Callithrix jacchus: one gene and its partner. The main gene of each other region encodes a partner of the protein of the gene in region 2 in a complex. Links are inferred from orthologs where the notes say so. Each region holds a gene or a part of one and is shown on either strand. Other genes may lie near its edges.

Region 1 (3,911 bases), on a different chromosome or scaffold from region 2:
CAGAATAATCCCACTCAAAGACCAACACATTAGTAACCTCCGAAAGCTGGGAAAGAGACTTCCCCAATGCCACCCACTCCTGCACCCTAACCCTTGCCTGGAACATCTGAAATCTAGGACACCCTGCAGCCCCTACCTATCCCTCCTGGTTCCTCAAGCCCCACAGCCACCATCTTCCACCAATGCCATCCTCTGGGATGGCAAGAATCACAGTATGGCTAGCAAAAGGCCACTCATGGAAGGAATCTAGGCCAAAAACTGGGCTAGACTCAAAAATCTCTCAATTTCCTTTCCAAACCAAAGCTAGTGTATGTCTACAAAAAGCTGGAAATGCCAAACCAAACTCTGGGTAAGTCGCTGACAAATCAAACCTAAAACACTTCCAGCAATCATCATCACTTATACTCCATGGATCCACAAAGCCTCACTTTCCCTAGCAGTGTCTTGTACCACATGTGTGCCAGCGAACCACTAACCCAGTAAGCCCTTCACACCATGCCTTTCCCTGTTTGCACATGCTGGGCCCTTCACCACCAAGACTGAGAAGTCCCTGATAAGTAACCTTAAACCCTTTATACCCTCCTGCAGCACAGTAAGGTCTCCCCTGTCTCCCGTTCTTGTTCCCTCCCACCTACACCCAGAAGACTACACACCACAACCCCAGTTTTCCTGCTTTTGGAGTTCTGCCCTCAGGCCCTTCAAGTGGCACCCCCTAGAGAACTCTAGAACCCATCCACCAGATGCAACCAACATTAGGAAAGCAGCTGAGGACACACTGGAGAGCAACTTCAATAGCCCCCTCAGCCTCATGTACCAGTAGAGCGCACAGTGTGATCCTTGGTGTACTTCACCCGCTGGTGTGCCTCTACACAGGTCTCACACAGAGGCTCCGAGCACTCCACACAGTAGCTGGTGGCTGGGGCATTATCCTCACAGCTAGTGCAGCACTGCCAGATAAAGACAAGATAAGAGAAAGCAAGACAACCTGATAGGTCCACATTTACATTCCAGAAAATACAACCCGAGATCAAGATTGGTCCCTGGACCCAGCCTAGGCAGCCCACCCAGAGCCTTGGGAAAGGGGAGTTAACAAGCCTGGAGCTGGTGCAAAGCTCCTCCTGGCCACATGTCCCCTCCCCATAAGCAGAGACCTCTTTGTGGATGCTGAGGTAGGACGCACCTGGTTCGCATCCTGGGCGTCGGTGGCAGTCTTGCTGCCACTGTCACGCATGAAATAATTCTCCACGATGTCTTTGGAGAAGCATTGTTGCTTGCATACGGGACAGTCCACCACTTCGAGAGACAGGGATGTGGGAAACTGTTACAAGTTCCCACCCAGGATATGGCCGGCCACATCCCCCTGCCGGCCGCCCCCCCACCCGACCATTATCCCGCAGCGAGCCAGCCCCTCCCCTCCCCGAGCCTTTTTTCTCCAACTTAAGTCAAATGTCCCATTCTCAGCGGCCGGCCCAGACCCACGTTGCTATGCAGAACCCAGGAAGTACTCCCCGTGCCCTGTCCGAGCCCCCATCCTCTAGCCCAGGTGGCATCCTCATCTCTGCACCCAGGCGGAATCAAAGGCAGAGAGTGGGGGAGGGGTGGCCGGAGCCCTGACCACTTCGTACTTACCTGCGCCGTCTCCCGCCGCCCCGCCGTCCCCCGAACTGTTGGCGGAAGCGGGCGCCGCGGGGCCTAGGCAGGCACTACAGGCCGAGTGCAAACAAGGCAGCAGGCGGGGCTCCCTCTCGGGTCGCAGGCGCTCTCTGCACACGCCGCAGTGCTCCAACAGCTCCAGCGCCTCGGCGCCGCCCCCCGCGGGCGACGACGCCGCGGCCGAGGCCGACGCCGAGCCTGCGGCCGAAGAGGCGGTGCTGCGCTTTTCGCCGCCAGCGGAGCCCTCACCCGGGCCGGGGCTGCCAGAGGCGGCCGAGGCCGCTGCTGCCGAGGCCGCCGCCGCCGAGGCCGCCATTCACACGCCGCCGGGGGCGCCCAGGGGGGAGGAGGGGCGCGGGGCCCGCCGCGCAGGCGCAGAGGCGCTCGCCGCCAACTGCTGGGCCGCTGCCGCCGCCGCCGCCGCGAGGCCGATCGCCGCCACGCGCCTCCTGGGCTGCTGCCCACCGCGCGCAGGACGCTGTTTGCGACACGGCCAGCTGCCGCTTGCTCGCTTTACGAAGGCGCCGCCCGCGCTTCTCCAGCCGCCGCCGAAATCCTCACCACGCGCCACAAGCACACCCGCTCGCCCGCGCGCTGCTCGCAGAAAGAGCCGCGACTGAGGGGCGGGACAGAAATAACTGGCGCCGACGACGCCGCGCACGCGCAAGGGGCGCCGCACGCCCGGGGGCGGGGCCCAGGACGGTCGGTGCGGGGAAAGGCCCCCAGTACGCAAGCGCCCACCCCGGTTCCCTCCACCACCGCCAGCCCTACCTCGGTGGGGCTCTGATGGTAGCGGGGCGGGGCATACGTGACGTCACTGCCGCAATGTAATCCGCCAGCGGGGCGTGCGCACCTTTATAGAGTGTGAGTCCCGTCTCAGCGCCGCCTCCAGACCACACTGAAGGAGGCCATTGAGCGCCCAAGCGCGTGGGCAGTTCGTACCAACCCCTCAACCAGCGTCTCTTCGTCCCGCTTAGAGTCTCTCCAGCCTCGGCGTCACTAAGAGTTCGGGATAGGGGGCAGGGCCGATGGGGAGGTGGGCGGGGCCAGGATCGAGTGAAGGGCTGTGCCCAGGGGAGAGGGGAGGAGAGTCTCCATCCTACTAGGAGGGAGGCAGCTCCTGGGTGAGCGCAGAGGCTGACTTTTGGAATCTAGCCACGTTATGATTAAACTTGAGAAACACAGAGAGTGGGGAGGAGGTGAAGGGGAAAAAAAAAGAAAAAGAAAAAATAATAGTCGTGAGAAACACAGAAACTCACAAATCAAATGTAGATCACGGCCGGGCGCCATGGCTCATCCCTGTAATCCCACCACTTTGGGAGGCGAGTAGGGAGGCTCCATTTAGCCCAGGACGCCGAGGCGCAGTGAGCTGGGACTGTGCCACTGCACGCCAGCCTGGACAACAGATCGAGAAAAATGTTTTTGTTTTGCTGTGTCGCCCAGGCTGGAGTGCAATGGCGCGATCTCGGCTCACTGCAACCTCCGCCTCCCGGGTCCAAGCAATTCCCCTGCCTCAGCCTTCCGAATAGCTGGGATTACAGGCGCTCACTACCACGCCCGGCTAATTTTTGCATTTTTAGTAGAGACAGGGCTTCACCATGTTGGCCAGGCTACTGTCGAACTTCCGATCTCAGGTGATCCACTCGCTTCGGCCTCCCAAAGTGCTGAAATTACAGGTGTGAGCCACTACGCCCGGTCCCCCCGCCCCAAAAAATGTAAATCACAAGAGGCTACAGAGCAAGGAGTGTGAAATCCCATCCAGCCCCCCCAGGAGTCCCTTCTGCTTGTTTTAGTCAGCAGCTACCCTGACTTTGACCCTTTTCCAGGTGGGAAAACTGAACCTCAACAGTGGGGAGTCCCAAGGAGGGAAGGAAGCAGGCCTTTGTGGGGAGAATCCTGTCTGAGGGACGCAGGATCTGGAGGGGAGGGATCCTGCCTAATGGGAGAAGCAGGGTCTGTAGGTAGAGGCAGACCCGCCTGGGGACTATCAGCGCGTTGAAAACCATGAGGCTGGTCCCGGGGGATGGGCTTCAGCCCCCAGTGCAGGGTCCCTGGTGTCCGGAGGTCTCCGGGCCAGGTGACAACGGCGGGGTGGGGGGTAGGTGGCAGCTTCTGGAGGATGTTTGGAGGCCGCGAGGACTGGCGCGAACAACCATGAAACCCACTCGCCACTCTCGAAGTGCACACAGGTAAAGGTGGCGAGCCGGGCGGGGCGTGAGGGTCACGGGTCACAGCCTCCCCAGGCCCAGCTCCCAGGT
Region 2 (3,811 bases):
AAAAAGATTAGTATTTGAAAAGATGCACTTGTTAGACCACTTAACAGCCAGACAAACTTGGTAATGTACAAACTATTGCTGGGCTATCCTGTTACCCTTTAGGAAGTAAATTGAATTGTAGATTATTTTAGATGAATGGCAGTTTTGACATTTGTCACAGCACTGTAAAGAGGTGAAGATTGTTGCAACTCTGCTTACATATATAAAGAGCAGACAGTGTCTTCGTGAAGTATTTTAGTGTATGTCCAACATATATTGGTGTTGTCATTTATAGACTAAATACTTACCAGTATCTATTGTGAAACTTTGTGCTTGACCACACTGCCTGAAGTGTACAGAGACACTGCTTCTCAGGACCTAAGAAGCAAAGCATGTTTCTTTTAAAAATGTTATTTCCATCTGAACAAAGAACTGTTTGTTGTAATGTAATTTTATCCATATATGGTATATATATATTTTTTTTTTGGTGTTTTTGTTGTTGTTGTTGTTTTGTTTATTTGTTTGTTTTAAAACAGAACCTCACTCTGTCACCCAGGCTAGAGTGCATGGTGCCATCTCGGCTCACTGCAACCTCCACCTCCTGGGTTCAAGTAGTTCTCATGCCTTAGCCTCCCAAGTAGCTGGGAGTACAGGTGTGTGCCACCATGCTCAGCTAATTTTTTATTTCTTTTTTTTTTTTTTTTTTTTTGAGACAGGATTTTGCCATGTTGACCAGGCTAATCTTGAACTACTGGCCTCAAGCTACCCACCTCAGCCTCCCAAAGTGCTTGGATTAGAGGCTTGAGCCACTGTGCCCAGCCAGTAATTTTTAAAGTACAAATATCTTTCTCTTTTCTTGAATCTTTAGGAGTGTCTAAAAGTTAAATAATCAGAAAATGTCAGCCTCAAGTAGTTGAAATAAAAGAATTTAAGGATCTGTTTGTCATAATTTTCAAGGTATTCTTTTTGAACTCTTATAGTTTAGAAATATCCAAATAACTATATTTATTAACCAATGGACATATCTTGCATTGTTTTTAGAGAAGTACTAGTTATAAAACTAATAAGTCAAGGGACGATTGAAGAATCCATGCTAAAAATTAACCAACAGAAACTGAAACTAGAACAAGATATGACCACTGTAGATGAAGGTAAGTTGTTTGTAAGCAGAAACTTCAATATTTATTTATATGACCACAATTCAAATTAGTCAGTGCAAGAGGATGACAAAGATGGCTAAAATCCTTAACTAGCTTACAGTTTAGGGATCATGTGTGATGTCAGAGAAGGTAAGCATACTTATTTCAAAAGTACTATAACTGATCATTTTTAAAATTCCTTAATTTCAAAATTTTTATTTTTATATATGTTTTTGAAAGGATAGTATGTTCAAAACCCAGATATGAAAGAACAGAAGCCTCCTACTCATCCTACTTCCCAGCTTTCCCTTTTAATGTTAAATTAATTGGAAATGAGCAATTTTTATTTTAATAAAGATATTCTTGCTAATGGTTCATTTTAATTTAGCAAATTTCTGTTCATGACAGACACTGTTAAGTCTGTTGTTAGGCACTCTGTACTACATAAAAATCAATATATCTGTCTACAGAGAGAAATATGATCATCAAATAATTACTTGTCTTTCTTTCATAGCATTTATTTCAGGGTGCTGTGGAAGCTTGGGGGGCAGGCAGTAGAGAAAGTTTGAGTAAGAAACAACTGAGATCTTTAAAATTAAGGATAAGTAGAGTGATCGTAAGTTAAACAATTAACAGTAATTACTATGCTTTGTGTGCATGTGGCAACTTGCCAATTGCAGGTGGTCCAGCAAATACAGTAAAGTAAATGCGTAAGGCAGATTCTCTTTGGGCAGTGTTTTTCTTATTATTTAGGGCAGCTTTTAGAATTTAGTAAAGTATTTAAATTCTTTTTTAGTGATACTAGCAAATATCCAGATATATGGATTTTATTCTAACAAGTTTCTCAATATAATAGAACCACAATAATTGATAATTAACTATAGTCTTTTCTTATGGGCTAGTTTATTTCCTCAGAAGGGTATTTTTCAACCTCCTGGAAAGTGAAAATACAGGTGGGGAGAGGTGATATGAGCCAACTGCCCTGAGAAGTGAAGGAGGGAGGTTTGTTCTCATATTTAAATATTAATAGTTAATCTGCCTGTTTTCAGCAGCCTCTCTGTTCTTTACTCTGCCAAGTCCAGAGTTCTTCAGACTTATGTTCTCCAAAGAGAATAAACCTTCATTCATTTTTATATGTCTGGGGCAAATGGCTGGCTCTCTTGGGCAAGCTTCAGGAATCTTACCTGTTCAACTTGTTTATAGATAACTTTATGTTTCCCATTTACCCCATTTCCTGGGCTTTGGGGGTAGAAGGGTAAGGATTCTGGGTGTGAAGTAGCCTTGCATTTCCTACCTGAAGACTCTTAAGCTTTTACTTTATTACGTTAAAATCAGTTTCCGTTCTTTACCTATCATTTTCTTCCAGAATTTGTGGGCAGCTGTCTCTCTGCTGTTGTCCTTTCTCTCCTGTCCTTTCTCTTTTGTTTAACCCCCTTAACACTTTTTCTCACATCGTATTTTAATGGCATTACAGCTGAAGGGAGCAGAGGTGATGTGTATGTTCAATCATTTTCAGTCATAATGTAAATTATTCGTATTTATATAAATTTGGTCAGTCTAAAAGTTTGCCTGTTACGTTCACCTATACTGTCTGTTAAAATAGCAGTGTATTTTTAGCTGTGCTCTCAAGCCAGTAGCTTTGAAATGTTTAATTATGAAGAATCCTGCCCTCTCCTTACCCCTCTTCCTTTCTGTAGGAAGTTTTTCTCTATCTTGTTAAAGCTGTTTACATACGCATTTTTCCCAGCGTGTATTTTATTTGCTAGACTGAGGATGTAATGGTGTCTTTTATTTACTCATTGAACTGCAATCATTTTGTCTTCAGCTGTGCCCCTGGTTTCGTTTAGGTAATTTTGACACTGAATTGATGACATATATGCCCTTTCCATCTCTCACAATGTAATCCTTTTCCTTTATAAACAAAAAGTATATTCGTAATTGAGTATGTATAGCTTTTTGTTAACAATCTGTTTGCCTCCTCTACATAAAACTGTGAAAGGTAAAGACCATGATGCCTCTCAAATATGCTTATCAGATTCTTGTGTTTCTAGAGCTTGCTTTAGTGGTTATCAGAGTACCAACAGCAGGAGCATCATCTCCTAAGAAATTGGCAATTTGAAATGCAAATTCCCAAGCCCCATTCTATACCCACTTGGTGAAAAACTCTGGCGATAGGACCTGATAATACTCAGTTTAACAAGTTGTCCAGGTGATTCTGATAAAGCTAAAATCAGAGAACCACTGCTTTAAAATAAAGATTGTGTTTTGGATTTTTTTCATTAACCTCCCTTAATGTGATTAATTGTATTAACATTTTTTACCTTTTTGAACTTTAAAAAATATATATGTTACTACAATCATGACTACATACTCTTTGAATTTTTTTATTACAGAAATAGTCATACAAAAATGAAAGCAGTGACTGGGCATGTGGTTCATGCTTACAGTGCTTATTTGGGGAGACAGGAAGGAGGATCATTTGAGCCCAGGAGTGCAAAACTAGCCTGGGTAATATAGCAAGACTCCATCTCTATAAATATATATATGTGTGTATATATACTTCATTAATTGTTGAAAGTATAGTATGAATGAAAAATACAGTGATTTGACAGTTAATGACATTTGCCGTGTTTTTCTACTTTTTTCCCATTGATCTATAATAAAGTCAACTGTAAACATGGTAATTTATTTTC

What was found.
Region 1: the proteins of SMARCAD1 (region 2) and TRIM28 are in contact, whole or in part, in a crystal structure (PDB 6H3A), measured with the Homo sapiens proteins. The link is inferred for Callithrix jacchus from reciprocal best matches to the Homo sapiens genes SMARCAD1 and TRIM28. Residues at the interface, in NP_001362784.1 of Homo sapiens: Asp156, Leu157, Ala160, Lys161, Gln163, Thr164, Glu167, Leu168, Phe169, Asp188, Gly189, Ala190, Ala192, Leu196, Ala201, Gly202, Gly203; in NP_005753.1 of Homo sapiens: Arg330, Trp333, Thr334, Lys337, Ile338, His341, Leu376, Lys377, Ile379, Val380, Asp381, Val383.

Annotation. Positions count from the first base shown.
Region 1 is NC_133523.1:51,178,918-51,182,828, reverse strand, and holds the start of TRIM28 (transcription intermediary factor 1-beta), read right to left. Parts: upstream 2,272-3,911; 5' UTR 1,970-2,271; coding exon 1,630-1,969; intron 1,294-1,629; coding exon 1,181-1,293; intron 948-1,180; coding exon 815-947; intron 1-814. UniProt on the Homo sapiens protein: Nuclear corepressor for KRAB domain-containing zinc finger proteins (KRAB-ZFPs).
Region 2 is NC_133504.1:103,271,484-103,275,294, reverse strand, and holds part of SMARCAD1 (SWI/SNF-related matrix-associated actin-dependent regulator of chromatin subfamily A containing DEAD/H box 1), read left to right. Parts: intron 1-1,020; coding exon 1,021-1,130; intron 1,131-3,811. UniProt on the Homo sapiens protein: DNA helicase that possesses intrinsic ATP-dependent nucleosome-remodeling activity and is both required for DNA repair and heterochromatin organization.